2 linked regions of the Lepisosteus oculatus genome follow. The protein of the gene in region 1 interacts with the protein of each later gene in a biochemical or structural test. Links are inferred from orthologs where the notes say so. Each region holds a gene or a part of one and is shown on either strand. Other genes may lie near its edges. The genes, in order: lats1 and mink1.

Evidence for each region.
Region 2: of the proteins of lats1 (region 1) and mink1, one has a biochemical effect on the other in vitro, tested with the Homo sapiens proteins (2 studies listed by BioGRID). The link is inferred for Lepisosteus oculatus from reciprocal best matches to the Homo sapiens genes LATS1 and MINK1.

Annotation. Positions count from the first base shown.
Region 1 is NC_090697.1:4,927,572-4,942,865, forward strand, and holds the start of lats1 (serine/threonine-protein kinase LATS1), read left to right. Parts: upstream 1-5,137; 5' UTR 5,138-6,227; intron 6,228-7,583; 5' UTR 7,584-7,734; coding exon 7,735-8,094; intron 8,095-10,444; coding exon 10,445-10,595; intron 10,596-11,131; coding exon 11,132-12,669; intron 12,670-15,294. Other genes in the region: nucleoporin Nup43, read left to right, coding at 150-272, 1,192-1,269, 2,174-2,336, 2,545-2,680, 2,905-3,056, 3,227-3,343, 4,381-4,610. UniProt on the Homo sapiens protein: Negative regulator of YAP1 in the Hippo signaling pathway that plays a pivotal role in organ size control and tumor suppression by restricting proliferation and promoting apoptosis.
Region 2 is NC_090698.1:10,002,770-10,018,063, reverse strand, and holds the start of mink1 (misshapen-like kinase 1), read right to left. Parts: upstream 8,484-15,294; 5' UTR 7,300-8,483; coding exon 7,243-7,299; intron 1-7,242. UniProt on the Homo sapiens protein: Serine/threonine kinase which acts as a negative regulator of Ras-related Rap2-mediated signal transduction to control neuronal structure and AMPA receptor trafficking.

The sequences.
Region 1 (15,294 bases):
GTACTGGCCAGCCTCACGCAGCTGAGCTCCAGTGGGCTGCCAGCTGTGAGCTGCAGGCAGTTGTCATGGTCGAGGGGTGTTTTTACATGCGGGATTACCTGATAGAAAGGAATATCTTCTTGAATGCCACTTTTGCATCATTGTGCCAGGACAATAAAGTTTCCATATGGTCTGTGGGGGAGCTTAGCGTCACCAGCATGGAGGATGAGTTTGAAGGAGACCCCCAGCTACTGTGTGACTACCGACATGGCGGTGATGTCATGGACCTTCAGGTACACTTGTTCTTCATTCGTTTTTCTATCTGGAAATATGTTGTACATTGTTTTTTTACTACGATTGATCATTGGTCATTTTGAAAATTTCTAAAAAGGGGCAGTAACTCTATTTTCCTCTTTCATATTCTCTCAAGTGAGGTGAATAATGGAACTGTGGTATCTTAGCAGACAGTTTAGAATTTTCCACAGAAGGAGGTTTCAGAAAAAAACATGGAAGGGCAGTACTAGGGCCAAAAGACATTTTGTGGGAACTAGTATGAAACATCATTCATATTATGTATGATATCAGACACTTTGTGTTTATTCCTGCTTATGTTTGGCTGAAAATTCTAAAGTTGTATTCTCTTTTAGATTATGTCGTATTGATTGTATAACATGTCTAAAAGTAAACATTTTTGTGTGGATACAGAATTTGCCTCTCCCCAGGCAATGGGTACAGTACAATGGGTCTTGAGCATCAGAAGAAAATTCCTAGTTAACAGGCCATAAGTGACATTCCACCTTTCTTTGAGTACATTTGAAGTAGTAATATCAGGCACAACGTAAAATGTTCATACATTACTGTGTGATGCCGCGATCGCTCAATATCAAACAGCGTCACTGTTCCTCAACCTCGGACACATTTCACAATTCTTCCAGAAATGCTTTGTAGGAATGATGTTTTATTCCTGTGAATGTAATAAATCCTTTATTAATGTTGCTTTATCCTTTATTCTTCTTTCGATGTGTTACTGGAGGATTATGTAGGTCAGCCTTCAAAGCAATATACTTTTCTCTCATTCTCTGACCTATAAATGTTAGTTGTGAATTAAACCTTGGTATAGACTTAGCTTGGTTTACTCTTTTTTTATTCGTGTTTATGACCATTTTACATGCCCTGTAAGGCACATTTATTTTCTTGTGATGTTTCTTTTAGTTTCTGGACCATGAGAGAATTGTTACAGCTTCATCAACTGGAGCAGTTACCATCTTCCGACACCATCACAACAGCCAGGTAGATCTGTCTTTCCAATGCTTTCTTTCAGAGTTTAGACCTCATTCTGTTTTGTTCTTTCAGTTCAAAACTTTTTTTTTTTGGTTTTGCTGTCTTTCAGACTGTGTTTCTGTTTTACTACTTTTGTTCTCTTCTTTGAGATTCTCTGGAAATGTGCATATTCCAAAGAACATAATATTGAGTTTGATTGTAGTAAAGACGTTATTTCAGAATGTTAGAATAGGATCATGTTAAAGTTAATCTGACTCTGAGTTCTTCTGTGTTGCTTATCTTAGATCACCCTGGAGGGATGAAATTAACTTAGCTTTGGTTTTGAATTATATCTTTTACTCTCTGCTTCAGAAAAGCATGTTTGTGCATGTTACTGGCACTCCAAAATATAAATTTTTAATTCAATATTTTCATCATAACTAAGTTCCTCCGAGGTACAGTAGCTCGCCTTATCTCATGTTAACTCCCCGAATCTACTACATCGCTCTTCCCATCTCTTCACTTTGACTCTCTGAAATGATTCTCAAAATATAAAATGTAGATGTTCCCAATATGGGTCCTGACCTGCTGCTTGTATAACAGACCTGGACAGAAATGGCCTGTTGGCCTCAGACAAGCATGAGTCTTTGGAGTAAGATAGAATTACAGCAACTGAAAGGAGTTTCAGTTGTTTCCTGGAGGAAAAGAGTCTCTCTGAACTATCTCTGTTTATCTCTTTTTGTGTGATCTTTCCACAACAGGACTTTGGCAGTAAACATTCCATAAAAGTCAAGTTAAATCATAATGACAAACTACCTCAAAAAACAGGCAAACCTCCTCTGAAGCTGTTATGTTTGGATGATGGTGATGTTTTGTTTTGTTTTTAAATCAGGGATTACAAGTCAATCCTTTTTTCCAAAATGTTTTCCTGTAGACCCTCTCTGTGGCTCAGCAGTGGAGTCAGGCACACTCCTACTCCTGCGGCAGTGCCCCTTGTACAGGTGTGGTTTGCAACAGCCCAGAAATTGTCTCGGTTGGAGAGGATGGCCGGATAATTCTCTTCCGAGCGGACCATAAAGGAGTCATACGTACCATAGGTGTGTACAAATTCAAAGCTCACAGTTGTCTTGAAAACAGGTTTAATACATTTTTGATTTATTTATAAAAACGTGCATGCTTAGACATTCAAAGGTATTCAGTCTGCCATGCATTCATGTATACTGGTATTTGTGGTTGAAGAAGGAGCTGCTATTTAAACTGTTCAGTTCACCCACATTAACAGCGTATTTTCCTTCCTTTTCACAGACAATGCCGATAGCAGCACAATCCACGCTGTAACTTTCTTAAAGACAACAGAGGTCCTGACAGTCAATTCTTTTGGCCAGTTGAAATTATGGGACTTCAGGCAGCAGAGAAATGAACCATCACAGATTCTATCCTTGTGAGTTCACTGGTTGTTAAAAATACTCTCAATTAAAGTTTTGAAGAGAGCCTACGGCAGCTCACCATTTTTTAGAAATCTACAAAATATTGTTAACCCCATATTTAATTTTTGTGAACATATTCAGATTTGAGCTATAATAGGCAGGCTTGGAATGCACATTATGGAAAAAATGGAATGCATAACTACGTTCTGTTAATCTCAGCTGTTTTTCCACCTTACAGAACTGGAGAGAGAGTGCCCCTACACTGTGTAGACAGACACCCCAACCAGCAGCACATAGTGGCCACTGGGAGTCAGGATGGCGTGCTGTGCATCTGGGATGTCAGACAGGGAAGCATGCCATTTGCGCTGATGGAAGCACATTCTGCTGAAAGTTAGTAATGGCTTTACTTTGTATCAGCCCGTCTGTTTTTTAGCGAACCGCCAGATACTTTTAATACCTTTCCACTAGATGACGGACATGCTGTGCAGACGTTATGGTTGTTGTATTCGGTGAGTGCCGTAAAGGTAGGGAGAAACTAACGCTGCTCTTTTGCGTCCCAGTGTGGGAGGTCCACTTTCACCCCTCTAACCCGGACCACCTGTTCACGTGCTCTGAGGATGGCTCTCTGTGGCACTGGGAGAACTCCACAGGCACCGACACCCCCTCCTTCCTGCAAGGTAAGGGTCCCCGTTTGAAAAGGAGAGGGAGAGGCGCACACGTCTGTAACCGGGTTTTGACCGAATAGAGCCTCGTTTTTGTTAGGACGGAGCAGAAGGCTCAGACTCAACCCCTTCTTCATGGCGAGGAGCTCTTGTCATGTCATGTTCGGGTCTAAAAGTAATGCGTGCGCTACATGGTTTATAAAGGCCTCAAGTATAAAAGTTACTGGATAAATCTGAACAAGGAGTATCATTAAGAGGTACAAACGCACAAAATATTCACCACTTTTTTTTAATAAAAATTGCCTTAGAAGCATACAAGGGACAGTACAGCATTGCAGATGTATCATTCTGTCATAGAAGTATCATTTCCTGTACATCTGTACATCTATGACAGAAGTCACAAAGCATTGATTCCTGAAGCAGGAAGTTAATATCGGATTATATACTATTCTTTTCAGCCCATTCTTGACATTTATTTTCACCTTGGGTTCTCTGGAATGTGAAGGATAGGCAAAGCGCGACCAGTGCATTTCGATATCGAGATAAGAGAAGATAAAGATGACAAAGCTGACGTGCAGTATTCTTATACAAACAACCTCTTCTAGTAAAGTCACGTACATAACCAGTGCAGAAGACAAACTAAAAGACGTGATTCACTTCTTAGTTCTTTGTTTAGTTGTCCGAATTAAGAACTTAATAGCTTTGGAGCTTAAATAACATACTAGGAATAAGGAGTCACGGGGGTTAAATGATTTTGAAGTGAAATATCTTCAGTTTCAGAATATAATGCACTGCAGGACCTTTTCCTGAACAGGTGGTTTCTAACTCTGCGTGGGGTGGATCCTTGTCTCTCCTGGCTGTTGTTCCAAGTGAGATTTCAATTCCAAACAGCCTTGGTATTTATTTATTTAACTGAACAAAAGAAATGTAGATTAACACATTTCCACTGTTAACACTGCAGTTAGAATGTTAGGGAAGGTAAGGTAGAGCAAAAACCAGACGCTGGAATATTAATTTCAATAATAAAGGATTCATTTTTGTTTTCCGAAAAGGTGGGAGGAACACTACCATCACGTCACGCAGCACAGTTGCCCCTCACAGCATCAACCAGTCCTTGATTAGCTCCTGGCTGAGCAGTGACTCTTCCAAAGGCCGTCTGGAGACGACAAACATGCTTCCTGGCGAGACAATGTCTGTGAACAGTCTGGACGTGCTGGGGCAGCACCTGGTCTGTGGAACTGATGGAGAAGCTATTTATGTCAGCAGACATGTGCCAGTATAACAGAAGGCAGGCTTTGTTCTGTATTGGGGCCCTCAATAGCACACACTTCACTATTGCATCTGGTACTGGATGATTCCACACAGCTGTCTTGATAGTTAAACAACTGACTAGTCACTCGGGAACCACTTATAGAGAACATGCTTCTCAAGGCATCTTAAACAGTACTGGTCCTTTTCGGGCCGTAGGGATTTACAATTTCATCCTGTGCTCATCTCGCTAATATAAAGCAGCTGACAATTTAGTAAGCATGTCGAGGCCTACTGGAGTGTGCTGTTGAGGGCTGGAAGTGAGGAGCACTGTTCTGTTTAATCCCTGTCCTGTTTGGAAGCCAGGAAAAATAGTTCAGTAATGAAAACTGCAAAGCGAATAATTCTTTTTGTATCACTATTTTTTTTTAAATAAACAATCTTTGCAAAAAGCTCTTTGCATACAATGTTGATGTGGAAATGTATTTTTGTTAATAACCTTACATTATTTGCTTTTAAAGCTCGTTTTTAGAGTAGCCGGTCAAATGATTTACAGGATGGGACTGATATGTATGTGCTCTATAATGGCAATGAGGTAAAAGTAATGTTGTTTTTTGTATTTATCTGTTTTCCACTATACACGTTTGTTTAAATGTTGTTGCAACATTCACAAAATTCCTGTTTAATATTCATGATTTTGAACAGCCACTGTTTAACCGGCTCTAGAAACGTATTTGTAAATTAGTTCAATGCTGGTATTATCCGTTGACCCACAACATATGATAACAGGGCACTGTACAGGGTAAAGTTTTAACTTCACACAGGGGAGTAAAAAGATTTGAAGCCAATTTTATTATTTTTCCGCTGTCTTTTTTCTTGAATTCCAAGTGCTGTAGTTTCGACGGCCGTCTCCAAATAGATAGTTCGGTTGTCTATCTGGCGAATACAAGTAAGAATATCGGTATAAAGTTGATTTGAATGAACTTCTCAAAAAAATGCAAGCAGGGCCGGTGTTTTCAATGACAGTCTACGGCAAAATCGTGTGGATGCTGGTAACCGCATTTGCTCCAGCTTAGAAGCGCCTTGCTTGTGATTCACTCTTCATCATCTGTCATAACTGATGTCTGCAGTTTGCAGCCCTGTCTTCATCCCACGACACCCCAGTGCGGTAACTGAGCTGAGCACCGGCGGATGCTCTTCCTATCTCAATGGTAGAGACCGGCTGCCCAATCCAAGCCAATGACAGGACAAGCCGCAGGGTTCGCCCCAGCATGCGTGACGAAGATAACGAACTCAAAAACGGACGCGTAATTTTACGGACGGCGAAGTGCCTCGGGTCTCGGAGGCTCCGACGCTTGTGGCGGTCAGGAATGAGCCGGTGAAACGCCAGCACTGGGAGCAAGAGCGGCTGTGGGGTTGCGGAGCTTGCTGGGAAATGGGAAAACCCTGCACATCCGGGCTCTCGGGGTGACAGACGGCTGGGCTCTCCGAGCGACTCGGGGACGGGAAAAGCAGGAAAACCTTCGGGCGCCGATCCTCCGCAGCGGAGCGGGGCCAGCAGACACCGGCAGCCGGCGATCCTCCGCGGTCGGGCCCGCTTTGCCGCTCGGAGCCGCGTCCGGCGATGAGCTAGAAGCCCGGGGGCCAGTCGGTGAGTCCTTTGTGAGGCGTCCCTGTCGGTTCCCACCAGGCCCCGGCGGCGGCTGTAATCCGAGTCCGGACTCTGCGTTTGCGGGGATGGGGGGTGGACGAGGTCGGGGCGGTTGTCGCCTCATGTCCGGGCTACAAAGAGACGGGGGCCACAGGCCATGTGAGGCTTTCGCTCCCGGTGTTGGGACAACCTGGCCTTTTTTTTTGTTAATCCCCCACATATGAGGCGTTGTCTCTTTATTTATGGCCACACCTTAGCCAGGCCCGGAGAGGCCTGGACGAGATGGGGGAAGCCTGGGATTGTTCTGGGAGCGAGTGCCGAGGGCTGGGGCGAAGCGACGGGGAAGGGTAGCTTCGTGTGCCCCTGGTGCTGGCGGCTACTTTCTGCGGTGACAATGTGGAAATTGTCACCTGCGCTGATAAGGACACCCAGGGGCAGGCAGCGAATAAGGGATAGGGGCCGGTAGGTGCCTTTTCCACTTCACAGGGCGCTCTGTTTGGGGTTGGTGCGGTTTGCTCTGCGGTGGCATGAAATGACTGTCTAACGCCAGGCTGCGATGCCCGTGTCGTGGCCGAGCAACGCCGAAAAGATGTTGATGTGGGTCCGACAGGTTTTTGGGTCTGGCTCCGAGTGACTTCAGCTATACTGTGTGCAAGGTGTTTTAGGAAAATAGGCTTCTATACACGTCAAGGGGGTTGTTTTGTGTATCGTTTCGATATGAGAAATTTAGAAAGTATTTATGAATTGAAAGGGTACATTGTAAAAAATATCGAGGTTGGTGCCCGCCAGATTTATTGTAGGCGCTGACATATCGTAGACACAAGCGTTTTGTCGGCGAATAAACACTCGTACATCTCTTCACCTTATTTGTTCCACAGGTGAGATAAACGTTTCTCTTCTCTCGTTGGCACTTTTATGTGGTGAAGTGCTTCTGATTTTTCTTTTATTTTTTGTTTTGTTTATGTTTCGTTTATTTCAATGATCCCATCTAGAGAAGGTAGAAAAGTGTTTTCCCCCCACAGATGCCTACCCAGCCACACTATAGAAGCTAATACCCCGACTTCTATTATCAAGCACCTGGTCCTAGATCAGATGACCTGATCAAATAGCTACTTACAACCAGGTGGTGACCTCAGATTCCTCTGTTCCTGACAGAAGGTTTTCCTGGGAGAAGAATGTAATTTCCCGTCATGAAGTTAAGGAAGTTAACGTTTAAGAAGTTCTTTCGTGGATCCTGTGCAGGTTTATTCTTGCTTTTAAAACAGGTGATGATTTTGGAGAGGTGTAGCACAGCTCTGTCCTTGACGGGTCGGCCTCATTACGGTCATTGAATTGGGCTGGACTGTTCTGTTGCAGATGTGCCTTCTTCCGCGGAGCCCTGGAACAGCAGGCGTGTCGAGGAGAAGGAGCCCCGTGCAGCCCTCCGCTCTTGCCCGCTAGCGACGCCCCCTGCTGGCGAGAGTGTGGTGCCCCACTTCGCCTTGATTGCCCACGTACATGTTCTTTCATGAAGAGAGGGGAGAAGCCCGAAGGATACCGACAGATGCGGCCCAAAACCTTCCCAGCGAGTAACTATGGGGGCAGCAGCCATCAGATGCTGCAGGAGATCCGAGAGAGCCTTCGGCACCTCTCCAGGCCCTCGGACGCCCCCAAAATGGAGTCCGGTGCTGCTGGGAAGGGGCCGGTCGAAGACCCCAGGCAGCAGGGGAGAAACAGCAACCCCAAGTTCAACACGTACCACAAGGCTCTGCAGGAGATCCGCAAGTCCCTGATGCCCTTCGCCAACGAGTCCGGCTCCTCGGGCAGGGGCACCTGCGAGGTCAACAAGCAGATGCTAATGGAGTTACAGAACGCCGGGTTCGAGGAGGTAAGCCTGTGTTCCGAGCAGGGTGCTTTTTACAGCGTTTTCTAAATCAGAGGCGATTTATTCTGGTTAGCAGTTTTGGGTTAATCATGGCCTGTGGAAGCCCTGGACTTGGGGGGGGAAGAAATTGTTCGGTTAATAATGAAACCCCCCCGCCCTTTCACAACAGCACACAGAGTATCTGCATGCGGAACAGGAGAAGGCACACATAATTACACTTGATTACATTAGAACAACAACAGAGAGATTACTGAAACACCAGGGGATAACAGTTCACCAATAATGTTCATTTTTTTCTCATCTTTGTTAATAGTATTTCTGTGGTGCTTGTCACTTCTTTCTGTTTTTTGGTTGAGTACAGTTAGATGGAAATTGATTGATGTGCACTGGAGAGTTAGAAGCTCTGAACTGTAGGACGGGATGTGTTCTGCTGATGTTCACCTTTTTTACCGGGCCTTTTTAAGTAGAGTGGGTCGTATTCATGCTTTGAAGCCATTTGCTTTGTGCCCTGTTTCCACTTGCTGCGATTGTGTTGAGCTATTGGAACGATGGTATGTGGAAATACTTGATCTACTATTGTTTCCATCTTCAGGGTGTAATTTTGTCCTCTCCAGAATGTTCAAAGCAGACGTCACTGGGAGTTATTTCATTCTTACTGAATAACATCATAACACACATTTCTAAATGTATTTAGAATATGTACACTGATGATGATTAATGTAGATGGGACAGAAAGTCATATTGCACATTCCAGTTCAAAATATGTTCAGCAATTTTCTCCTTGAATACTGGAAGTCATTAATCATTATCACTTTAATTTAAACTTGTTGTGAGGATCTATGCTTCAGAGATCTAATTTCTAAATATTCAGAACTTGCGTATGGAATTGTAAAAAACATCCATTAGTTTTAGCATTTTAATGTATTGTACTGTGTGTGACTACAAAATTCCAATTGCCTTGTAGTGAGGCAATTATTTTGTACAACAGCCTATTTCAGCTTAATAGCTACACAAGACATTCAGTGCACAAAGTTTAGGAAATACGATGATAACAGGTGCCAGGGCTATTTAGTGGCTGTTTATGGCCCAGAGGTGAGGCCAGAGGATCCCAGTAAAACAATATGAAAAGTACCCAGAATGAAAAATGGCAGAGGAACGGCAGTAATGTAATTGAAAGAGAGCTCTGTGCCAGCAGCATACTGTACGTTTATCTACCTGTGAAATCATGTGGCCCTCTGTCATGCAGATGGTTAATACTGTCCAGAACCTGACACAGGTATAGAAAATTCAGCAAACTAGAGTGAAGCTGGTAACGTGGCACACGTGTGCATCGGGGAGCTCTTTTATACTGCTCTGGACTGGCTGGGCTTGCTTGCTGTAAGAAGTGCTGTTCAATATCTGAGGGTGAGCACCTACTCAGACAAGGCAAGATCTTGCCATCTCATTTTCACCTTGGCACTTTTTATTCTTCCAGAGTGTTTACCTACACTAAAACAATTAACTAGGGAGTCATACTGAGCCTTGTTCAGACCTGAAAGCAACATGAAAATAAAACACAGCAGCAGTGCAAAGCATTATTTGGATGTCTGACAGAAAACGGGTTGTTGTTGTTATCTGTCATTTAGGACTGATTACTGATTCCATTTCATGATATTGCAAAACTTTTTTTTTTACACGATTTAGCATGGCTAACATCTCTTAAAAGCCCACCTGATTTCAAACTGCCAGTTGTCTTTATTCCACCTCGGCTCCAGCGCGCAGGCAGACTCCTTGTCTGTGTAGAGCTGTGCTGGATTTTGTGTGGACTGAAGCCCTACAGCTCTATGGTGCCTGTAGCCCTGGGAGCTGTTGATTTATCCCAGCCCTGCCCAGTGACTGTCAGCTAGTGACCTGGGCTCAAGCCACCTCATACCATTCAAACCAGTTGGGACCCTCAAGGAAACATTTTCTATGAAGACAAATTTTGGATGTTGGGTTTAGGGTTTAATCCCACAGCTTTAATGTCCTGAGTTTGATTCTGGCTTCAGGCGTCTGTACGGAGTTTGCATGTTTTCCCCTCATTTGCATGGGTCTTAACTGAGTGCTGCAGTTTCGCCTACCTCCCAGTTCAGGACGTCCTGCTTGGGTTTCATTGGCTTTCGCCAGCTGCCCTGTGATGGCGCAGTGTCCTGTAGGGAGAGAGCAGCAGTATGTCCTTCGTCAGGATAAACAGCTTGACGTTAAGGTGGGGGGTGTTACTTTCGTTCTGCTCATGTTGTTTTTATCAAGTATTTACGCAGACTGTTTTGGACGGAGAAGATGTGGTAGCAGAACCTCTCGCGTCTCTTGTGATACTTGGCGTTCTGCCCTGCAGGAGATGGTCATCCGCGCTCTGAAGCAAACTAACAGCCGGAGCGTGGAGGCGGCCATCGAGTACATCAGCAAGATGAGCTACCAGGACCCGTGGAGGGAGCAGATGGTGGCCGCTGCTGCGCGGCCCATCAATTCGGGCGTGAAAGCTCCGGGTGGGTATCTGTGCTCTGGGTCCAGCGCCGTGTTCATGCCTCGCGTTGCTGCCTTTTATCTTGCACCCCCATGAGAAAAATCAGCACTGTCTTATCGAAGCCCAAGGAACAGCTCAGTTTGTCCTACTCTTCGCTGCGTGAGCTTTTACTAGTGTTTCCACACACCTGATTACCGCTGCAGAATGCTGTTTCAGATAGACAGGTGCAGGAGTATAGTTTGTCTTCCATCCTTCTGTTTTCACTCTGATGTTCCTGGTGAGGGTCACCGTATTCGGCTAATCTTTGTGAAAATCCAGGAATTTCTCCTCATTTATGTTTGATAACAAAGGATGCTATTTGGGTTTGAGTGTGCTGAAAATCTGCTTTAGGTTTATGTACAATGTGAAGCGTATGTTTTCTCTTTACTGCTGTTTAAGAACCATGCTATCTTTTCTTTTTACGTGTGCTGTGAAAAGCACTCACTAGGCATTCCCCTTCTTTGTTGGTCCTGGACCTTGACCCCGCGCGTCACTGTGTTTGATGTTTATCCCTCGCAGGTTCGGGTCACATCCAGCAGCCTGTGCTCCGCAAGCAAAGCTGGAAGGGTTCCAAGGAGTCCCTGGTTCCTCAGAGGCACGGGCCCCCTCTGGTGGAGGGGGTGATGTACCGCTCCGACAGCCCCGGGCCCCCAGCGGAGCTGGGAGGGCGCCCCCCGTCGGGCTCGGGGCTCGCGGCCTTCTCCCAGGGACACCCGGGCAACGGGCAGCGGGTCAACCCCCCCCCTCCTCCACAGGTGCGCAGCGTCACCCCTCCACCCCCTCCGACCAGGGGCACCACCCCGCCCCCGCCTTCCTGGGAGGGCAACCCCTCCACCAAGCGCTTCTCGGCCAACATGGAGTACCTGGTGCACCGGATCTCCCCGGTCCCCCAGGGGGCCTGGCCCGACGGGTACCCCACGCCACCCCCGCAGAGCCAGAGAGGGATCAGTCCCGTGCCAGTGGGCCGCCAGCCCATCATCATGCAGAGCTCGGCCGCGAACAAATTCAGTTTTCCTTCTAGCTGGGCGCAGAACGGCTCGGGGCAGCCTGACTACGTGGGACACCAGAACGTGGGCAGCGGCCGACAGCCTCCCCCTCCTTACCCCGTGAGCCAGGGCAGCAGACAGAGCCCCACGGCTTTACAAATGCAGGGCGGTGGGCCCGCGTCCTCCCCCTCGTACGTGAACGGCGGCAACATCCCCGCGTCCATGATGGTGCCCAGCCGGAACAGTCACAACCTGGACCTTTACAGCCACGGCATCCCCGGCTCCTGGCCCCAGCCGCCCCCTCCCTCCGGCCAGCCCCAGTCTCCCCCGGGCGGGAACGGCCACGAGGTCCCCCCGCCCTGGCAGCACAACATCCCCGTCCGCTCCAACTCCTTCAACAGCCACCAGCTGAGCGGCCGGCAGGGCTCCCAGCCGTCCGCCACCACGGTGAAGGCCATCACCCAGGCGCCCATCCTGCAGCCCGTTAAGAGCATGCGGGTGCAGAAGCCCGAGCTGCAGACCGCCGTCGCCCCCACCCACCCGCCTTGGATGCAGCAGCCGCCGCCCCCCAGCCCGTTCCAGGACGGGCCCCAGCCTCTGGGTCCCGGGGCCGCGGTGGCCGCCGAGGTGCCCAGCTACCAGGGCCCCCCGCCGCCCTACCCGAAGCACCTCCTCCAGCCGCCCGCCGCGCCGTCCCCCTCCTACGAGTTACCGGCCATGGCGGGCTGCGGCAAGGAGGAGCAGGGGCCCGGGCCCGGCCGGAAGGAGCAGCAGCAGGAGGAGGAGGCGGCGGCGGCGGTGGGGGCCGGCGGGGGCGGCTCCGGGGACCGGGCGGAGTCCGCGGAGGCGGGGGGCAGCGGCGCGGCGGCCGACCGGGAGAAGAAGCAGATCACCACGTCCCCCGTGCCCGTGCGCCGCATCAAGAAGGACGAGGAGCGCCGAGAGTCGCGCATCCAGAGCTACTCCCCCCAGGCCTTCAAGTTCTTCATGGAGCAGCACGTGGAGAACATCCTGAAGAACCACCAGCAGAGGATCCGGCGCAAGAAGCAGCTGGAGAGCGAGATGCAGCGGGTGAGCGCCGTCTTGATCGCGTCCTCTCGGGCAGCCCCCCCCGCCGGCGTGGCCCCAAGACGCTCCCCTGCGTCACTTAACTTTCATTTCCCCGTCCCGAACACTTTTCTTGGCATATGCAGGGCCGTCCTCATGTCTGTCGAAATACACTTGTGACTCCTTTAGATGTACCATGTTTTCTACTGTAATCTGTCATTTCTCGTCATCGTCTTTACCGTGTAAGTTGTAATACTTAAACGCCCCCTTTTTGAGTGCCTCCGAGTTTCTCCTTGATGTTGTTCATGTGAGAGATGAGATGAGATCACTTTATGGGCCGTATACAATTTCTTGTATTAGAAATTTGTCTTTTCACAGACCCCAGCTTACTCTCTATGAGACACACAGACAGGGAGAGAAGCTGGGGGTCAGAGCGCAGGGTCAGCCATTGTACAGCACCCCTGGAGCAGCTGGGGTTAAGAGCCTTGCTCAGGGGCCCAACGGAGTAGGATTCCTCTGCCTCTAGTCTGAGCTTTTGAATTACTTTGTGGTTTGCGCAGGCTTGTTGGGAAAGGGAGATAAGTTGAGCTGCAGATGGTTAACAGACACTTCCCGACGTTCAGTACAACACCTGTTGTTGGCATCATGCTGCAAAAAAACGCCAAAACATGATGCATAAAATTTTTTACTAGGTTCTGAGTGTGTGACAGTTGCTAAACCAGTATTTTTCTCAATTTTATAAGTGTGGTGTGGGTGTGATGGAGAGACGCTTGTTACTTCCTCTAAATCTGTCTCCTGGGGTGAGGGAGACCGGTTTTTGAGACTGGCTACCAGATATTCTGGCTTTTCATTTTTCTCTTTTTAATAGCTTCCATTCTACTGCCACCTTTTTGTTTCCAGCTTCTGTGTGTGCTCTTGCCTTTCTCTCTGTTTCCTGAGCTTGTTTCTCTCTTCACTTTCACTAACGGCGGCTGTAGGTGATAAAGGTGCCTGAGGCGCTGTGACCTGAATAGCCTTCACAACTCTCTGGCCAAGTAAGCTCCTGTTGCGCACAAGTCTTATAAATCTGCTGCATGGACGTCTCGCCCCACCTCTGCATGATCACATGACCCGGACAGCGCATGTGTCCAAGGATCTCCGTCATGTGCGCTAGGTTTTGCTTTTGTAACGGGGGGGGAAAAAGCCAACATTTCTAAATGCACAATTTTTCCCATCTGTCCTGTTGAATTGAAATTGTCAGTATAGATATTGATAGGATGTATAGTATAGATACTGATAGGATCTGATGGATGGGTAGCGGTTTAAGGCAGGGAAAGATTTTCTAAAGTCCAGTTCAGATGTTACATAACCAGATTTTTTTTCAGTCAAGCAGGCAGGTCTTTAGGGTGATGTTAACAAGGATCCATTATTGTTAGTAAAGAGTGAACAGATAAAGCTTGTTTACAACTTGCGATCTGTGCTTCACATTATGGATTACAACTGTCATGTTAAAGATTATTATTAGCTGTAGTGTCTTGGTTGCAAAATACTGAATATCTCATTGCACACATGTAAGCGATGAACCTTGTATGAATATTGTAATGACTTTGATATAACCAGATTTTTACTTGTAAAAGGTCATTTGTGTACATCAGAATTTATCCGTTTATCGCTACGAAGGTAATGCAGTGATTTTTTTTTCCAAACTACTGATAAAGATATTTTAAGTTTATTCTCTAGATTAAGAAGTTATTAGGAAACCTTTGAAATAAGACCTGTTAACTCTGGTTAGGTATTAAAATCCTCAGCTAGAAATGATTTTCCTATTGGAAGTTACTGTCCAGCGTAACTGCTAGGGACGCTGTCCTGGTATTTCAGTAATTAGACGTATGTGATAAAAAGGACTGATTTTAGTAGTTTTAATTTTAGTGCTATATTGCACTAATAATCTAATGGCAATTTCAAATCTAAAAAAGCAAAGGCTCATTTTATCCTGGTGACTTTTTCATTTGACTCAAAAAGAAACTGCATCTTTAGCTCTTTGAATTTCAGATTCGTATAAGTGTTCCATGTTATTGTGCTCTATGTGCACTCAGAAAAACATCTGGCACTGTTTTTTAGTTCAGTCCTGAATATTCGCATGTATGGATTGACATTTTAATTTGAAATGTTGCATGTCTGAAAACTTGAAGGGGAATTGCAGTTTCTCAAACTGGTTACTAAATCTCGGGAACAAAAATAAATTCATTAATGGTATAGAAAAAGTTGACAAATTAAGCACGAAATCGTGAACTTTGTAAAAGTGTAGTCACCACTGTTGTCACAAACCCCCTGATCTTGCCACGGGCGAGAGCACGAGTTTGCACCAGTTGCGACATGATGTGGCCCTTCCTGCTCACTAGTCACTGTAATGACGAATGTAACGCCGTGTATGAGGGAATTAGTACAGGCTGTGCAGCAGGCATTCCACTGCAGGAATGTTCCAATGTGACTTGCATGCAGAGTTAACAAATAAGTAGTATTTGTCGGCAAAACCATCTCGAAGTCAGGAGCCGTATTTCTATTTGATTAAAAGAGTTGTCTTCACAGGCCAGCTTGTTTGCAATTTAATAGGGCTGCTTCACCTCACTGGACGTTTTGTTGGCTCGTTCTGAATCACAGAATATGGTG
Region 2 (15,294 bases), on another chromosome or scaffold:
ATTCCATCTCTCTGCCTGTGTCTCCCTGCCCTCTCGCTCACCGGAGAATTAGCAAAGAACACAGCCTGAAGGAGTCGGGCTGAACCTACTGTACCACACCAGGGGGAGAGGGGACTGGCGAGGAATGAGCGGATACGAATGGGAAAGCTGCACCCCAGATTCTCGCTGCACTGGGGTCCGATAAACTTGATTTTACAGCGCTGTCAAACAGCTTCGCAGTGTCTGATCCGCTCCACTGCTTACTAACTGCAAGTGGCTCCCATGTCTTGAAACAACACCACCTGCTACAGATTACAAGCTTTATACCTTAATTTGGGTAAATTACTAGAGGTGGATGCATGTCATGCTTAAAATAACAGAATACCATTGCTGTTTGCACTGGTAGAAACCTCTAGTAGCTCCCAAACCCTGGAACAGATCAGCCTGCTGTGCAGTGGGAATGTGATTGAGAGCCCTGTAAAACCTGAAGTGGATCAGCCAGCTGTGCAGTGGGAATGTGATTGAGAGCCCTGTAAAACCTGGAGTGGATCAGCCTGCTGTGCAGTGGGAATGTGATTGAGAGCCCTGTAAAACCTGGAGTAGATCAGCCTGCTGTGCGGTGGGACTGTGTTATAGAGAGCCCTGTAAAACATGCAGTGGATCAGCCTGCTGTGCAGTGGGACTTTGATTGAGAGCCCTGTAAAACCTGGAGTGGATCAGCCTGCTGTGCAGTGGGAATGTGATTGAGAGCCCTTAAACCTGGACTGGATCAGCCTGCTGTGCAGTGGGTCTGTGATTCACAGATGTTTGCTAGCAGCTCAGTACTGAGCGGGTAGGAGTGGCTGAATGGCCTCCACTAGTTTGTAATCTTCCTTCTGTTGCAAAGGTGGAGCTCTCTATCACAAAGTTGCCCTGGGACTCTGGTTGATTTGTGGCAAAGCCTGGGCTCAAACTGGCCAGGCGTTTTTAAGCCTTCGGAGCAGCAGAGGCTCCTGGGACGCACCACGGTGCATACGGGCTGGAGCGATGTCAGCGAGAGACTCCTGTCAGGCACTGTGCAGCTTGTAGTGCTTCACATGGGCAACAGCCCTGACAGCCAGGCATGTCAGATGGAAGAAGAGCAGTTCTGCAGGAGCTGAACTCATAAGTCTGAGTCTTAAAGCAACTTTTACTACTGGAGGAGGCAGATAAAGAAACCGGTGTGAAATGTTCAATCCTCCCAACTGTAATCCAAAGTCCCTGAAACACCCATCAACCCCAGAGGAAGCTGGCAGAGCTATTAAGACAGGCACTGTCCGGAGGATCAAGAGCACCAGGAATGAGCTCATCTGTCCATCTGAGCATTCTCTCTGTCCAAGTGTCCACTCTGTCCATCTGTTTGTCCATCCAAGTGTCCACTTTTCCCATTCAACTAAGCTGTCTGTTTGTCACTTCAAGGGGTCTGTGTCCATCTGTCCATCCAGCTGTCCTCTCTGTCTATCCAAATGTATCAGAGGCACAAACAATTCAGCACTGGGGGACTATTTGTCCCTCCAAATGTGTCCATCTGTCTCCTTTCTCCATCCATGTGAGTTGTCTTGTGTGTCCATCTGTTCTCTCTGCCTATCCACGTGTGCTATCTTGTGTCCATCTCTTCATCCAAGTGGTCTGTGTCCATCTGTCCTTTCTGGCCATCCATATCTGCTGTCTTGTGTCCATCTGTCCTCTCTGTCCATCCACGTCCGCTGTCAAGTGTCCATCTGTCCTCTCTGTTCATGCACATGTGCTGTCTTGTGTCCATCTGTCCTCTCTGTTCATGCACATGTGCTGTCTTGTGTCCATCTGTCCTCTCTGTTCATGCACATGTGCTGTCTTGTGTCCATCTGTCCTCTCTGTTCATGCACATGTGCTGTCTTGTGTCCATCTGTCCTCTCTGTTCATGCACATGTGCTGTCTTGTGTCCATCTGTCCTCTCTGTTCATGCACATGTGCTGTCTTGTGTCCATCTGTCCTCTCTGTTCATGCACATGTGCTGTCTTGTGTCCATCTGTCCTCTCTGTTCATGCACATGTGCTGTCTTGTGTCCATCTGTCCTCTCTGTTCATGCACATGTGCTGTCTTGTGTCCATCTGTCCTCTCTGTTCATGCACATGTGCTGTCTTGTGTCCATCTCTCCATCCATATGGTCTGTGTCCATCGACACCTGCTGTCTTGTGTGTCCATCCAACCTCCATTAGAGTGTCCATTAGAGACCTGAAGTCCCATCGTTCACACCAAGCCTTTACCAGTGAAGAGGATGGATCATTGTCCAATTATCATGTAGTGTCTTGGTCAACCCCTTTCAGACCTGTGTGCTGTGGACTGGTGCTCATTTCAACCTGTATCGCTGCTTCTCTTCAATAAAGTAGGGATGGACCGATAACTTAAACATAAAACAGTGTTATTTCAGCTTCATCAGTGGAGGTTGTAAAAGTTCCTTCAGCAGCTGGTAAAACCTGAAAGGGATCAGACCGCTGTGCAATGGGAATTTGACTGGTTTCCCTGCTGTCGCTTAATAATTATTTATAATAAATAACTGTCTCCATATTCAAATTCTTTATTAAAACCACCACCATAGGCACTGTAATCTCCCAGGGTGTGTATTAACAATGACTAACGTACTAATGACTAATTACAAACATTCACAAAGACCGTCTGGGCACAAGGGCAAATTTAGCAATTTAGACTTATTACCAATCCTTTAAAAGTGGGGTCAACATTTCTGATGAGTTAATTACTTATTCCAGCTATTTATAACAGCAGGAGCGATATGAATAGCAGTGCTCACCTATAGAATCTTTCGCATGTTTCCTAATACGTTCAGTAAGAAGTCACAATCTAACAGTGAAACAGATCTCACTCCCACTCCAGGTGGCACAATGTTAACAATCACACTCCCACTGTACAGCAGTCTGATCCACTCTAGGTCCTGTAGTGATCTGAATCACACTCCCACTGTACAGCAGTCTGATCCACTCCAGGTCCTGTAGTGTTCTCAATCACACTCCCACTGTACAGAAGTCTGATCCACTCTAGGTCCTGCAGTGTTCTCAATCACACTCCCACTGTACAGCAGTCTGATCCACTCCAGGTCCTGTAGTGTTCTCAATCACACTCCCACTGTACAGCAGTCTGATCCACTCTAGGTCCTGTAGTGTTCTCAATCACACTCCCACTGACCAGCAGTCTGATCCACTCCAGGTCCTGTAGTGTTCTCAATCACACTCCCACTGACCAGCAGTCTGATCCACTCTAGGTCCTGCAGTGTTCTCAATCACACTCCCACTGACCAGCAGTCTGATCCACTCCAGGTCCTGTAGTGTTCTCAATCACACTCCCACTGACCAGCAGTCTGATCCACTCCAGGTCCTGTAGTGATCTCAATCACACTCCCACTGCACAGCAGTCTGATCCACTCTAGGTCCTGTAGTGTTCTCAATCACACTCCCACTGCACAGCAGTCTGATCCACTCCAGGTCCTGCAGTGTTCTCAATCACACTCCCACTGACCAGCAGTCTGATCCACTCCAGGTCCTGTAGTGTTCTCAATCACACTCCCACTGACCAGCAGTCTGATCCACTCCAGGTCCTGTAGTGATCTGAATCACACTCCCACTGACCAGCAGTCTGATCCACTCCAGGTCCTGTAGTGTTCTCAATCACACTCCCACTGTACAGAAGTCTGATCCACTCCAGGTCCTGTAGTGATCTGAATCACACTCCCACTGTACAGCAGTCTGATCCACTCTAGGTCCTGTAGTGTTCTCAATCACACTCCCACTGTACAGCAGTCTGATCCACTCCAGGTCCTGTAGTGATCTGAATCACACTCCCACTGTACAGCAGTCTGATCCACTCCAGGTCCTGTAGTGTTCTCAATCACACTCCCACTGTACAGCAGTCTGATCCACTCCAGGTCCTGTAGTGATCTGAATCACACTCCCACTGACCAGCAGTCTGATCCACTCCAGGTCCTGTAGTGTTCTCAATCACACTCCCACTGTACAGAAGTCTGATCCACTCCAGGTCCTGTAGTGATCTGAATCACACTCCCACTGTACAGCAGTCTGATCCACTCTAGGTCCTGTAGTGTTCTCAATCACACTCCCACTGTACAGCAGTCTGATCCACTCCAGGTCCTGTAGTGTTCTCAATCACACTCCCACTGTACAGCAGTCTGATCCACTCCAGGTCCTGTAGTGATCTGAATCACACTCCCACTGTACAGCAGTCTGATCCACTCCAGGTCCTGTAGTGTTCTCAATCACACTCCCACTGTACAGCAGTCTGATCCACTCCAGGTCCTGTAGTGATCTGAATCACACTCCCACTGTACAGCAGTCTGATCCACTCCAGGTCCTGTAGTGATCTGAATCACACTCCCACTGTACAGCAGTCTGATCCAGTCCAGGATTTAATGTTCTCAATCACAATCCCATCGCACCACAGTTAGAGACAGCAAGGTTCTATGCACTGCAGGAGGCTCTTGGGTAGAACTAGAAGCATCAGTAGACGTGCAGGTTAATCATTTCTTAAGTATGTCCACATCATCAACAGGTTGTACTGTTGTTGCTGCATCTGATAAAACCTGGTCCCGAGTCAAGATCCTCACGGATCTCAACCCTTAACTGACCTGAAAAGCTGCTGGAATGGAACTCGGAATGGAGATACTAGTGCTCCTCTCTCCTCTAAAGCTGAATTCCTGCTGTAGGTGGAGTCGCACTCTCAGGTGTGTGTGTGTGTGCCCCCTGCTGGAGGTGGAGTCTCACTCTCAGGTGTGTGTGAGTGTGTGTGTGCCCCCTGCTGGAGGTGGAGTCTCACTCTCAGGTGTGTGTGAGTGTGTGTGTGCCCCCTGCTGGAGGTGGAGTCTCACTCTCAGGTGTGAGTGTGTGTGTGTGTCTCCTGCTGGAGGTGGAGTCTCACTCTCAGGTGTGAGTGTGTGTGTGTGTGTGTCCTGCTGTAGGCGGAGTCTCACTCTCAGGTGTGTGTGTGTATCCCCTGCTGTAGGCGGAGTCTCACTTTCAGGTGTGTGTGTGTGTGTCTCCTGCTGGAGGTGGAGTCTCACTCTCAGGTAGGTGTGTGTGTGTGTGTCCTGCTGTAGGCAGAGTCTCACTCTCAGGTGTGTGTGTGTGTGTGTGTGTCCTGCTGTAGGCGGAGTCTCACTCTCAGGTGTGTGTGAGTGTGTGTGTGTCCTGCTGGAGGCGGAGTCTCACTCTCAGGTGTGTGTGAGTGTGTGTGTGTCCTGCTGTAGGCAGAGTCTCACTCTCAGGTGTGTGTGAGTGTGTGTGTGTCCTGCTGTAGGCAGAGTCTCACTCTCAGGTGTGTGTGAGTGTGTGTGTGTCCTGCTGTAGGCAGAGTCTCACTCTCAGGTGTGTGTGAGTGTGTGTGTGTCCTGCTGTAGGCAGAGTCTCACTCTCAGGTGTGTGTGAGTGTGTGTGTGTCCTGCTGTAGGCAGAGTCTCACTCTCAGGTGTGTGTGTGTGTGTGTGTGTCCTGCTGTAGGTGGAGTCTCACTCTCAGGTGTGTGTGTGTGTGTGTGTGTGTCCTGCTGTAGGTGGAGTCTCACTCTCAGGTGTGCATGTGTGCGTGTGTCCCGCTGTAGGCGGAGTCTCACTCTCAGGTGTGTGTGAGTGAGTGTGTCCCCCGCTGTAGGCGGAGTCTCACTCTCAGGTGTGTGTGAGTGAGTGTGTCCCCCGCTGTAGGCGGAGTCTCACTCTTAGGTGTGTGTGTGTCCCCTGCTGTAGGCGGAGTCTCTCAGGTGTGTGTGTGTGTGTCCCCTGCTGTAGGTGGAGTCTCACTCTCAGGTGTGTGTGAGTGTGTGTGTGTCCCCTGCTGTAGGCAGAGTCTCACTCTCAGGTGTGTGTGTGTGTGTCCCCTGCTGTAGGTGGAGTCTCACTCTCAGGTGTGTGTGAGTGTGTGTGTCCCCCGCTGTAGGCGGAGTCTCACTCTCAGGTGTGTGTGAGTGAGTGTGTCCCCCGCTGTAGGCGGAGTCTCACTCTCAGGTGTGTGTGAGTGAGTGTGTCCCCCGCTGTAGGCGGAGTCTCACTCTCAGGTGTGTGTGAGTGAGTGTGTCCCCCGCTGTAGGCGGAGTCTCACTCTCAGGTGTGTGTGAGTGAGTGTGTCCCCCGCTGTAGGCGGAGTCTCACTCTCAGGTGTGTGTGAGTGAGTGTGTCCCCCGCTGTAGGCGGAGTCTCACTCTCAGGTGTGTGTGAGTGAGTGTGTCCCCCGCTGTAGGCGGAGTCTCACTCTCAGGTGTGTGTGAGTGAGTGTGTCCCCCGCTGTAGGCGGAGTCTCACTCTCAGGTGTGTGTGAGTGAGTGTGTCCCCCGCTGTAGGCGGAGTCTCACTCTCAGGTGTGTGTGAGTGAGTGTGTCCCCCGCTGTAGGCGGAGTCTCACTCTCAGGTGTGTGTGAGTGAGTGTGTCCCCTGCTGTAGGCGGAGTCTCACTCTCAGGTGTGTGTGAGTGTCCAGGTCCAGAGCTAGGACCACTTCTTACTCTGACAATTACTCAATTCAGAAATACAAAAAACAGCAAGAACACAGACCGTGCGGTCCAACACGGGAGGGGGTCAGCCCACAGGCGCCGACCCCGGGAGACGGAATCTGAATTGTCCACACTGTAACGGTAACAGTTACACCAGCCCCCCCCAGCCACCCTCAAACAGGGCCCGTTTCCCCGGGTCTCTACGTGTTTCTGCCATTTGTCGTTTGAATTCGCGTCTTTCATCACAACCGCCGCCTCCACCATCGATTTACGTTTTGGGAAAATAAGGACATAGATATAAATCACGGAAAAACACGGTCTGATTTACAATCCACCCGGTACTTCAGTAATCCCCCGCCACGACCCCGGCTGTGTCAGTAACAGTCCAGGACCCCCAATCCCCTGTAATGTGATTAATATAAACCAGATTTAAACTGTCTGCAGCGACTAGCCGGTGCTGTTTAACCCAATAACCCTGGTGAGCAACGTTTCTAGCTGCTTGTTACGGATCATGTACACAGATGCGTCATGTGCAGAACTGGTGTCAGTCTGGGAGGCTGAGAAATATATGCATAAACGCAGAACACCCACATCGAAGTTGTAGAAAAACAGCAGCTACTGAGTCGCCCTTTGAGCATATTAAATTCCACTTCTGAGCCGATTAAACCCCCGAACACACACACATATACACGAGAGACTGACAGGCAAAGACGGGGAAATTTAAACGGGGGGACCAGCAATAATTATCCGTATTTTTACTCACCCGTAAGGCGGCGAGGTCGATGTCGTCTAAGCTTCTGGTAGGCGCGTTTTCAGACATTTTTGTCACAACAAAATGAAGTTAAAAATGAAGGGGTAAAAAAAATCCTATGCCGCCTTATCCAGCGTGGATTTTATTGCTGTGCGATAATGCCGGCCGTGGGAGAGGACACCTGCAAGGCTGCTGCGTATGGGGCTGGTCCTCGCTAGGTGAACGCCAGAACGGACATTTACAGGGTAAAATCCCGTACAGTACCCGGAGCTGCGCACCTCCGCCTCGCTGGGTGCGCAGTTAAAAAGCACTGGGGTTGTGTCGGTTCAGCACAAACTTGACAGTGTTGTTGTGGGGCTCCGGGGAGGGGGGTGCTCTCACCAAAACACCGAAATAATCGAGCCGTCTCTCGTCTCGTCGCGCTGCTCGGCGGCAGGGAGGGAGGGAGTCGAGATTGCGGACGGCTGGGGGTGAGCGTTCATGTTGGCAAGCCTGCCCTCGTCCTCGGCGGGCACCCCGGACCAGCGAGCAGGCAGATTAGCATTTAAAAACGCCAAAACGCCTGTCGGTTGACGGCTCTCGCCCCTACTCCCCGCCTTCTCTTATATAATCGATACGAGTCGCGGGCGAACGGGTCAGCAAGACGGGCGATTACCAGAAAATTCCAAGTTTTAGAAAATTCAGATCCCTTTTTTCCGAGGGTGGGGAGAGGTTGAGAAGAGGCAGCTCGCCGTAGCTAATTCACGAAAGCCAAGTTTCGCCCTACACTGAATGAGAGACGACGCGTGTTTTTAAAAGTCCTTTTTTACACCAAAACAATTCCAGAACTATTTTTTCTAAATAGCTGGTTCAGCTTTAACCTCCAACTTTCTGCCCGTCTCTCTCGTCCTGCGCTAACAGCCCGGATCGTCGGCCACCGCAGTCTCTCTCCGCCCCGCTCTGCTCTCTCTCTCCAGCAGAAGGCGACTTGAAGCTGACAAGGAAGAAGAAGAAAAAAAAAAAACAATTCGTGTCTCGAAAATAAAATCCCCCCCAATCGCCGCAAATCCACAGTCCTGCTCCTGCGACCGCCAACAAGCCCCGGCCCTCTTCGTCCGCTCTTGTCCTTCTGCTTCGCCTGCTGTTACTCCAGTGTTGTTTTCCTCGTCTGGTCCGTGCCTCTCTCTTGCAGTCACGAATACACACACACTCTCTCCATAGAGCTGTCTGTCGCTCCGTGCCCAGCTCTTCCTGGGTAGGCGAACTACGGCACCTCACCAGGGACACACCGCGCCGCGTTACAGCGAGGTCCGGTGCGGGCGACTTCCCCATCTCCCCCTCCGCGATGGTAATTTGTTGCTAGAGGTGGACGCGTCTCCAATATCAAATTCATAGTCATATGGAATATAGCCACGGCCCAATGCTATTTGGACATCAGCCCAAAGATGAGGCACCGTGTACATTTCTGGGCTCGGATGAAATTTCCTCGCCCGGACAAGTGAAAGGAACTGAATCTCTTTAGTGTTCCACAGGAAGGTCTAGGGGTCTTGGGCCAAGTTCAGAAAGTTACTGACTAAATCAACCACGACTGGACAGCATTGAGCGGGAAACTAAAAAGAAGCAAAGACACCAAGAGTGGTGGGTGTCTGGAACAGACAAGGCTGCTCTTGAAGCGGATTTCCTGGGATTTCTCCAGCAACCATGAGTAACAGGGACCAAATGAGCACCTCTCGTTTGGGACCTTATGTTTACTATGGCTGGGAATGGGGACTCTCGGAATTCAGGGAGGGGGAGAATTTCATTTAGGAATTTAGGGGTTGGGAAAATGGGACAGGACTGGAGGGTGGTTCATGTGAGATTTTCACATTTCTCCCTGCTTCTTATCCCTTTGAAGTACTCAATAAAGTTTTGCTGAAAGCTAAACCGAAGAAGGGCAAGGTACAGGGCCTCCGGAATGCAGCGGAACGACCGGCCACCGGCAGCACAGGGGAAGAGAGAGACTCTCCCCCCTCCCTCCCACAGGAGCTGGAAAAACAGGCCAGCTCAGGTGTTTCAGGGGCCTGCAGGACATGAACACTCCCAGAATTCCCACGCCGGAGACGGATGGGCTCCGCTCGCAAGGAAGCCTGAGGTGTCTGCGACGCCCTGCGTGAAGCAGGAAGCTCGTGTTGCCGACCATCTGTTCGGCTCTCTGATGTGCCAGTTGCTGAAAGGCCGTCAGGCTTGACTCAGCCCTCGGAGTCAGGAGGTGTGGAGGTTTAGTGATAACCTCAGACGAAACCTAGAGATATCTGGGCACCAGGGAGTGGCAGAAGTGACCCTTTGTACCCGATTAGACAATGGTAACAGACAACAAAATGCACTGAAAGGTGAAAAGGTGCGCCTCTCCCTCTCATCAGTATAAGCAGGTGTGGCCAGGCCATGCCAGTGAACCAGCCAGCTGGCTGTACTGTGCACCTCTTTTGCTCTCAACCTGTATTGTCCACTCACCTGTAGCAAGAGGTAAGAGAAGCTATTGTTTCTATTCTGCTATATTTCATCTCATTTATACAGCTCAACATTTCACTGAAGCATCTTGCTCACGGTTACAACAAGCACAATTCATTCTTCAGAGGAGCTTTTAAACCAAACACACACATTTGCAAGAAAATTAGTGACTTTATTAAAATTCACCTTTTCAGGTTTCTAGAATATAAAAATGTTAGGGTTTTAATACAATAATAAAAAGTTCTTAAAGACCAGAAAAGTTTGATGTGCAGTATTACATTGTAGTGCAGTAATTTAAAGCTTGCATTAAAAATCACCAGTTAAGACCTCTACAAACCACACCTCATTAGAAGTTTAATTGAATTCCAGATTCTACACTGCCTCCCTCTCCCACTGCCTGAGCTCTGAACACTAGCCCACACTGCCTCTCTCTCTCCCAGTGCCTCAGCTCTGAACACTAGCCCACACTGCCTCTCTCACTGCCTGAGCTCTGAACACAAGCGCACACTGCCTCTCTCTCACTGCCTCAGCTCTGAACACTAGCCCACACTGCCTCTCTCTCTCCCAGTGCCTCAGCTCTGAACACTAGCCCACACTGCCTCTCTCACTGCCTGAGCTCTGAACACTAGCGCACACTGCCTCTCTCTCACTGCCTCAGCTCTGAACACTAGCCCACACTGCCTGAGCTCTGAACACTAGCCCACACTGCCTCTCTCTCTCCCAGTGCCTCAGCTCTGAACACTAGCCCACACTGCCTCTCTCACTGCCTGAGCTCTGAACACTAGCCCACACTGCCTCTCTCACTGCCTGAGCTCTGAACACTAGCGCACACTGCCTCTCTCTCACTGCCTCAGCTCTGAACACTAGCCCACACTGCCTCTCTCTCTCCCAGTGCCTCAGCTCTGAACACTAGCCCACACTGCCTCTCTCACTGCCTGAGCTCTGAACACTAGCGCACACTGCCTCTCTCTCACTGCCTCAGCTCTGAACACTAGCCCACACTGCCTCAGCTCTGAACACTAGCCCACACTGCCTCTCTCTCCCAGTGCCTCAGCTCTGAACACTAGCCCACACTGCCTCTCTCACTGCCTGAGCTCTGAACACTAGCGCACACTGCCTCTCTCTCACTGCCTCAGCTCTGAACACTAGCCCACACTGCCTCAGCTCTGAACACTAGCCCACACTGCCTCTCTCTCCCAGTGCCTCAGCTCTGATCACTAGCTCACACTGCCTCCCTCTCTCTCACTGCCTCAGCTCTGAACACTAGCCCACACTGCCTCCCTCTCTCCCAGTGCCTCAGCTCTGAACACTAGCCCACACTGCCTCCCTGTCACTTTCCATCTTCTGATGCCCTTTTTTGTCCTCAAGTTTACAACCTACATTTGTTCCAATTCTTTTTATGTGTGTATACATTTCTTCCCCAATATCAGCATTTTTTTAAAATAAAATCAGCGGTTGCCAGGACAACGGCTGCAAAAGCTGCAGCGACGATGAGTGATTATAATTATAACACTTCGCCACCCCCTTTCCTCCTTCCTCTCACTCCTGTCCTCCTCTCCCCCTTCGCAAAATCCTGATCCGTCTCCTGCTAACTGTCTCCATAACAACAGCTCCGTGCATACTGGTGGCACGGTTCTCACTGCCTGACCGAGCGAGAGCGAGGAAGAGTTAGAGAGAGGTACTGTACGCAGAGAGAGAAACAAGCCGCCCACAGACTGCACAGTAACAGTACGCTCTGTTCCTCTCTTCTCTCTCAAACACTTCTCTTAACTGCCTCCCTCTCTGCCAGATAAGACTGCCTGTTACAGCACAGCTCTCCCAGTACAGCAAAGCACAGTGCAGTAGAGCACAGATCTGTATCCCACAGTACAGTACAGCACAGTGCAGTAGAGCACAGATCTGTATCCCACAGTACAGTACAGCACAGTGCAGTAGAGCACAGATCTGTATCCCACAGTACAGTACAGCACAGTGCAGTAGAGCACAGATCTGTATCCAACAGTACAGCAAAGCACAGATCTGTATCCCACAGTACAGCAAAGCACAGTGTAGTAGAGCACTGATCTGTATCCCACAGTACAGCAAAGCACAGTGCAGTAGAGCACAGATCTGTATCCCACAGTACAGTACAACACAATGCAGTAGAGCACAGATCTGTATCCCACAGTACAGTACAGCACAGTGCAGTAGAGCACAGATCTGTATCCCACAGTACAGCACAGCGCAGTGCAGTAGAGCACAGATCTGTACCCCACAGTACAGTACAGCACAGTGCAGTAGAGCACAGATCTGTACCCCACAGTACAGTACAGCACAGTAGAGCACAGATCTGTATCCCACAGTACAGCAAAGCACAGTGCAGTAGAGCACAGATCTGTACCCCACAGTACAGTACAGTGCAGTAGAGCACAGATCTGTATCCCACAGTACAGTACAGCACAGTGCAGTAGAGCACTGATCTGTATCCCACAGTACAGCAAAGCACAGTGCAGTAGAGCACAGATCTGTATCCCACAGTACAGTAGAGCACAGATCTGTATCCCACAGTACAGTACAACACAATGCAGTAGAGCACAGATCTGTATCCCACAGTACAGTACAGCACAGTGCAGTAGAGCACAGATCTGTATCCCACAGTACAGCACAGCGCAGTGCAGTGCAGTAGAGCACTGATCTGTACCCCACAGTACAGCACAGCACAGTGCAGCAGAGCACTGATCTGTATCCCACGGTACAGTACAGCACAGTGCAGCAGAGCACTGATCTGTATCCCACGGTACAGTACAGCACAGTGCAGCAGAGCACAGATCAATCCCACAGTACAACACAATGCAGTAGAAGACTGTTGTGTATCCCATAGTACAGTACAGCACAGTGCAGTAGATCACAGATCTGTATCCCACAGTACAGCAAAGCACAGTGCAGTAGAGCACTGATCTGTATCCCACAGTAGAGTACAGCACAGTGCAGTAGTGCATAGATCTGTATCCTACAGTGCAGTGCAGTAGAGCACAGATCTGTATCCCACAGTACAGCACAGTGCAGTAGAGCACTGATCTGTATCCCACAGTACAGCACAGTGCAGTAGAGCACTGATCTGTATCCCACAGTACAGTACAGCAGCTCACAGATCTGTATCCCACAGTACAGTACAGCACAGTGCAGTAGATCACAGATCTGTATCCCACAGTAGAGTACAGCACAGTGCAGTAGAGCACTGATCTGTATCCCACAGTAGAGTACAGCACAGTGCAGTAGAGCACTGATCTGTATCCCACAGTGCAGTGCAGTAGAGCACAGATCTGTATCCCACAGTACAGCACAGTGCAGTAGAGCACAGATCTGTATCCCACAGTACAGGACAGTGCAGTAGAGCACAGATCTGTATCCCACAGTACAGCACAGTGTAGTAGATCACAGATCTGTATCCCATAGTACAGTACAGATCAGTGCAGTAGAGCACTGATCTATATCCCACAGTATAGTATAGCACAGTGCAGTGCAGTAGTGCACAGATCTGTATCCCACAGTACAGTACAGCAGAGAACTGATCTGTATCCCACAGTACAGTACAGCACAGCGCAGTAGAGCACTGATCTGTGTCCCACAGTACAGCAAAGCACAGTGCAGTACCGTACAAGGGGGTTTGACAGTAAGTTCATGATGGAGTGTCAATAAAAAAGTACAGGTGAGCTGGGCTGAGTGTCTTTACAGATCTGACTGGACCTTACTATACTTTTACCCTGATTTCACTAGGATTTTATTGCACTTTACTGTTCAATGTTTTACAATATTACAGAACAGCAAACTACTGCAAGATTTCTTCTGCCTTGATATTTGCAGCATTTTCAAGGGCTGGGATGTTCCTTGGGAATAATTCCCCAGTCTTTTCTAGCTACTTATCGAGAATCCCTACATTCCAGCAAGTTTTCTCTGCGAAGGTTTCAAAGATGTTTTCTCTTCCATTCATTCCTTGCCAAAAACAGATACCACAAACATCGCGTCAGCGGCTTAAGAAAGGAATTCTACCGCAAACCCATAGGAACACCTTGATTGGAGCACCAGTAGCCACTGGAAGTGATCACGCCCAGGTCAGGAACAGTGGGGCGCCTTGTGCCAAGACAGCTGCTGTGTTAGTGTGTGGTGCACTCTGTGCTTGGTGGTTAGTGTGTGGTGCACTCTGTGCTTGGTGGTGTGTCCCAGCTTTGTTGTTCTAGTTTCAGGGAAGCTTGTTTTGAAAAAGCACAATCCCCCCACCAGCCCCAAACCAGATCTAATAGCCAGCATGAATGTTTTTTTCCACCCCGGGCAAATGTTACACTTGCCAGCGTTGGGAATCTGCACAAAGCTTGTATTCGTCATTAAGAGAAAAGCACGACTGCGGCTCCGTTACAGCTGCTACAGTCCAACACGCCATGGAGAATCAACCCAGCTGGCTGGGAACATGTCAGCCGACTGGAAACGGTGATGACTGATAGACACAGGGGCAGCGGTGAACTCCGCCAAAGAACTTCGATTCCTATCATTTTCGATGCACAAAAGCCTTGTTATTTGTTTATAAAAGGTCTGTTTTAATTGTGTCCCCTTTCTAAAGTGGGCTGCCCTGTTCGAGAGTATCGCATCCTGAAAACTGTGCACTCAGGAGCCCCCAGGAACATCACCAGTGCCAGCAGCAGAGTGCTAACATCACTATCAGCCAGCAGAGGGCGCCAAGATCGCCAGTGTCCACCAGCGGGCACAGGCCCGCCCGCTCCCCTGCTGATGCAGCTCTCTCGGGTTTATGCTTCCACTGTCCCAGGCCGGGCCAGCGAATCAGACACGGACATGTCCTACTCCCTGAGGATGTGAAGACAGTCAGAAAAATCTGTGGACGTGTTCTGCCTAAACTCCCTCGTGCACCTGTATGCGCCGAGGAGGAGGGCTGAATCAAATCAACTGTCCCCGTGAGTTCGGCGCTGTTTCTGTGAGCGCGACTCGAGCGCCAGGCACCGGGCACTTGTTCCAAGTGCCCATGATGAGCTCCCAGTCTGGTCCAGCGAAACATGTTCCTCTTCATTTATACTGGGGCCCAGTTCATAGATCCTCCGTGCACAAGTGTCACAACCCATCACAGGTGTCCCAGGTGTCACAGCCCGTTATAGGTGTCACTGGTGTTACAACCTGTTCCCGGTGTCACAACCTGACCCAGTTGTCACAGCCCATCAGCTGCCACAGGTGTCCCAGGTGTCACAACCCGTTATAGGTGTCACTGGTGTTACAACCTGTTCCCGGTGTCACAACCTGACCAAGTTGTCACAGCCCATCAGCTGCCACAGGTGTCCCAGGTGTTACAACCTGTCACAGGAGTCACGGGTGTTACAGCCAGTTACAGGAGTCACGGGTGTTACAGCCAGTTACAGGAGTCACAACCCGTCACAGGAGTCACTGGTGTCACAACCTGTTCCCAGTGTAACAGCCGTCAAAACCCATCACAGGTGTTACAACCTGTCCCAGGTGTCACAACCCGTCACAGGTGTCACTGATGTTACAACCCATCACAGGAGTCACAGGTGTCACAGCCCGTCACAGGTGCTCCAGGTGTTACAACATGTTCCAGGT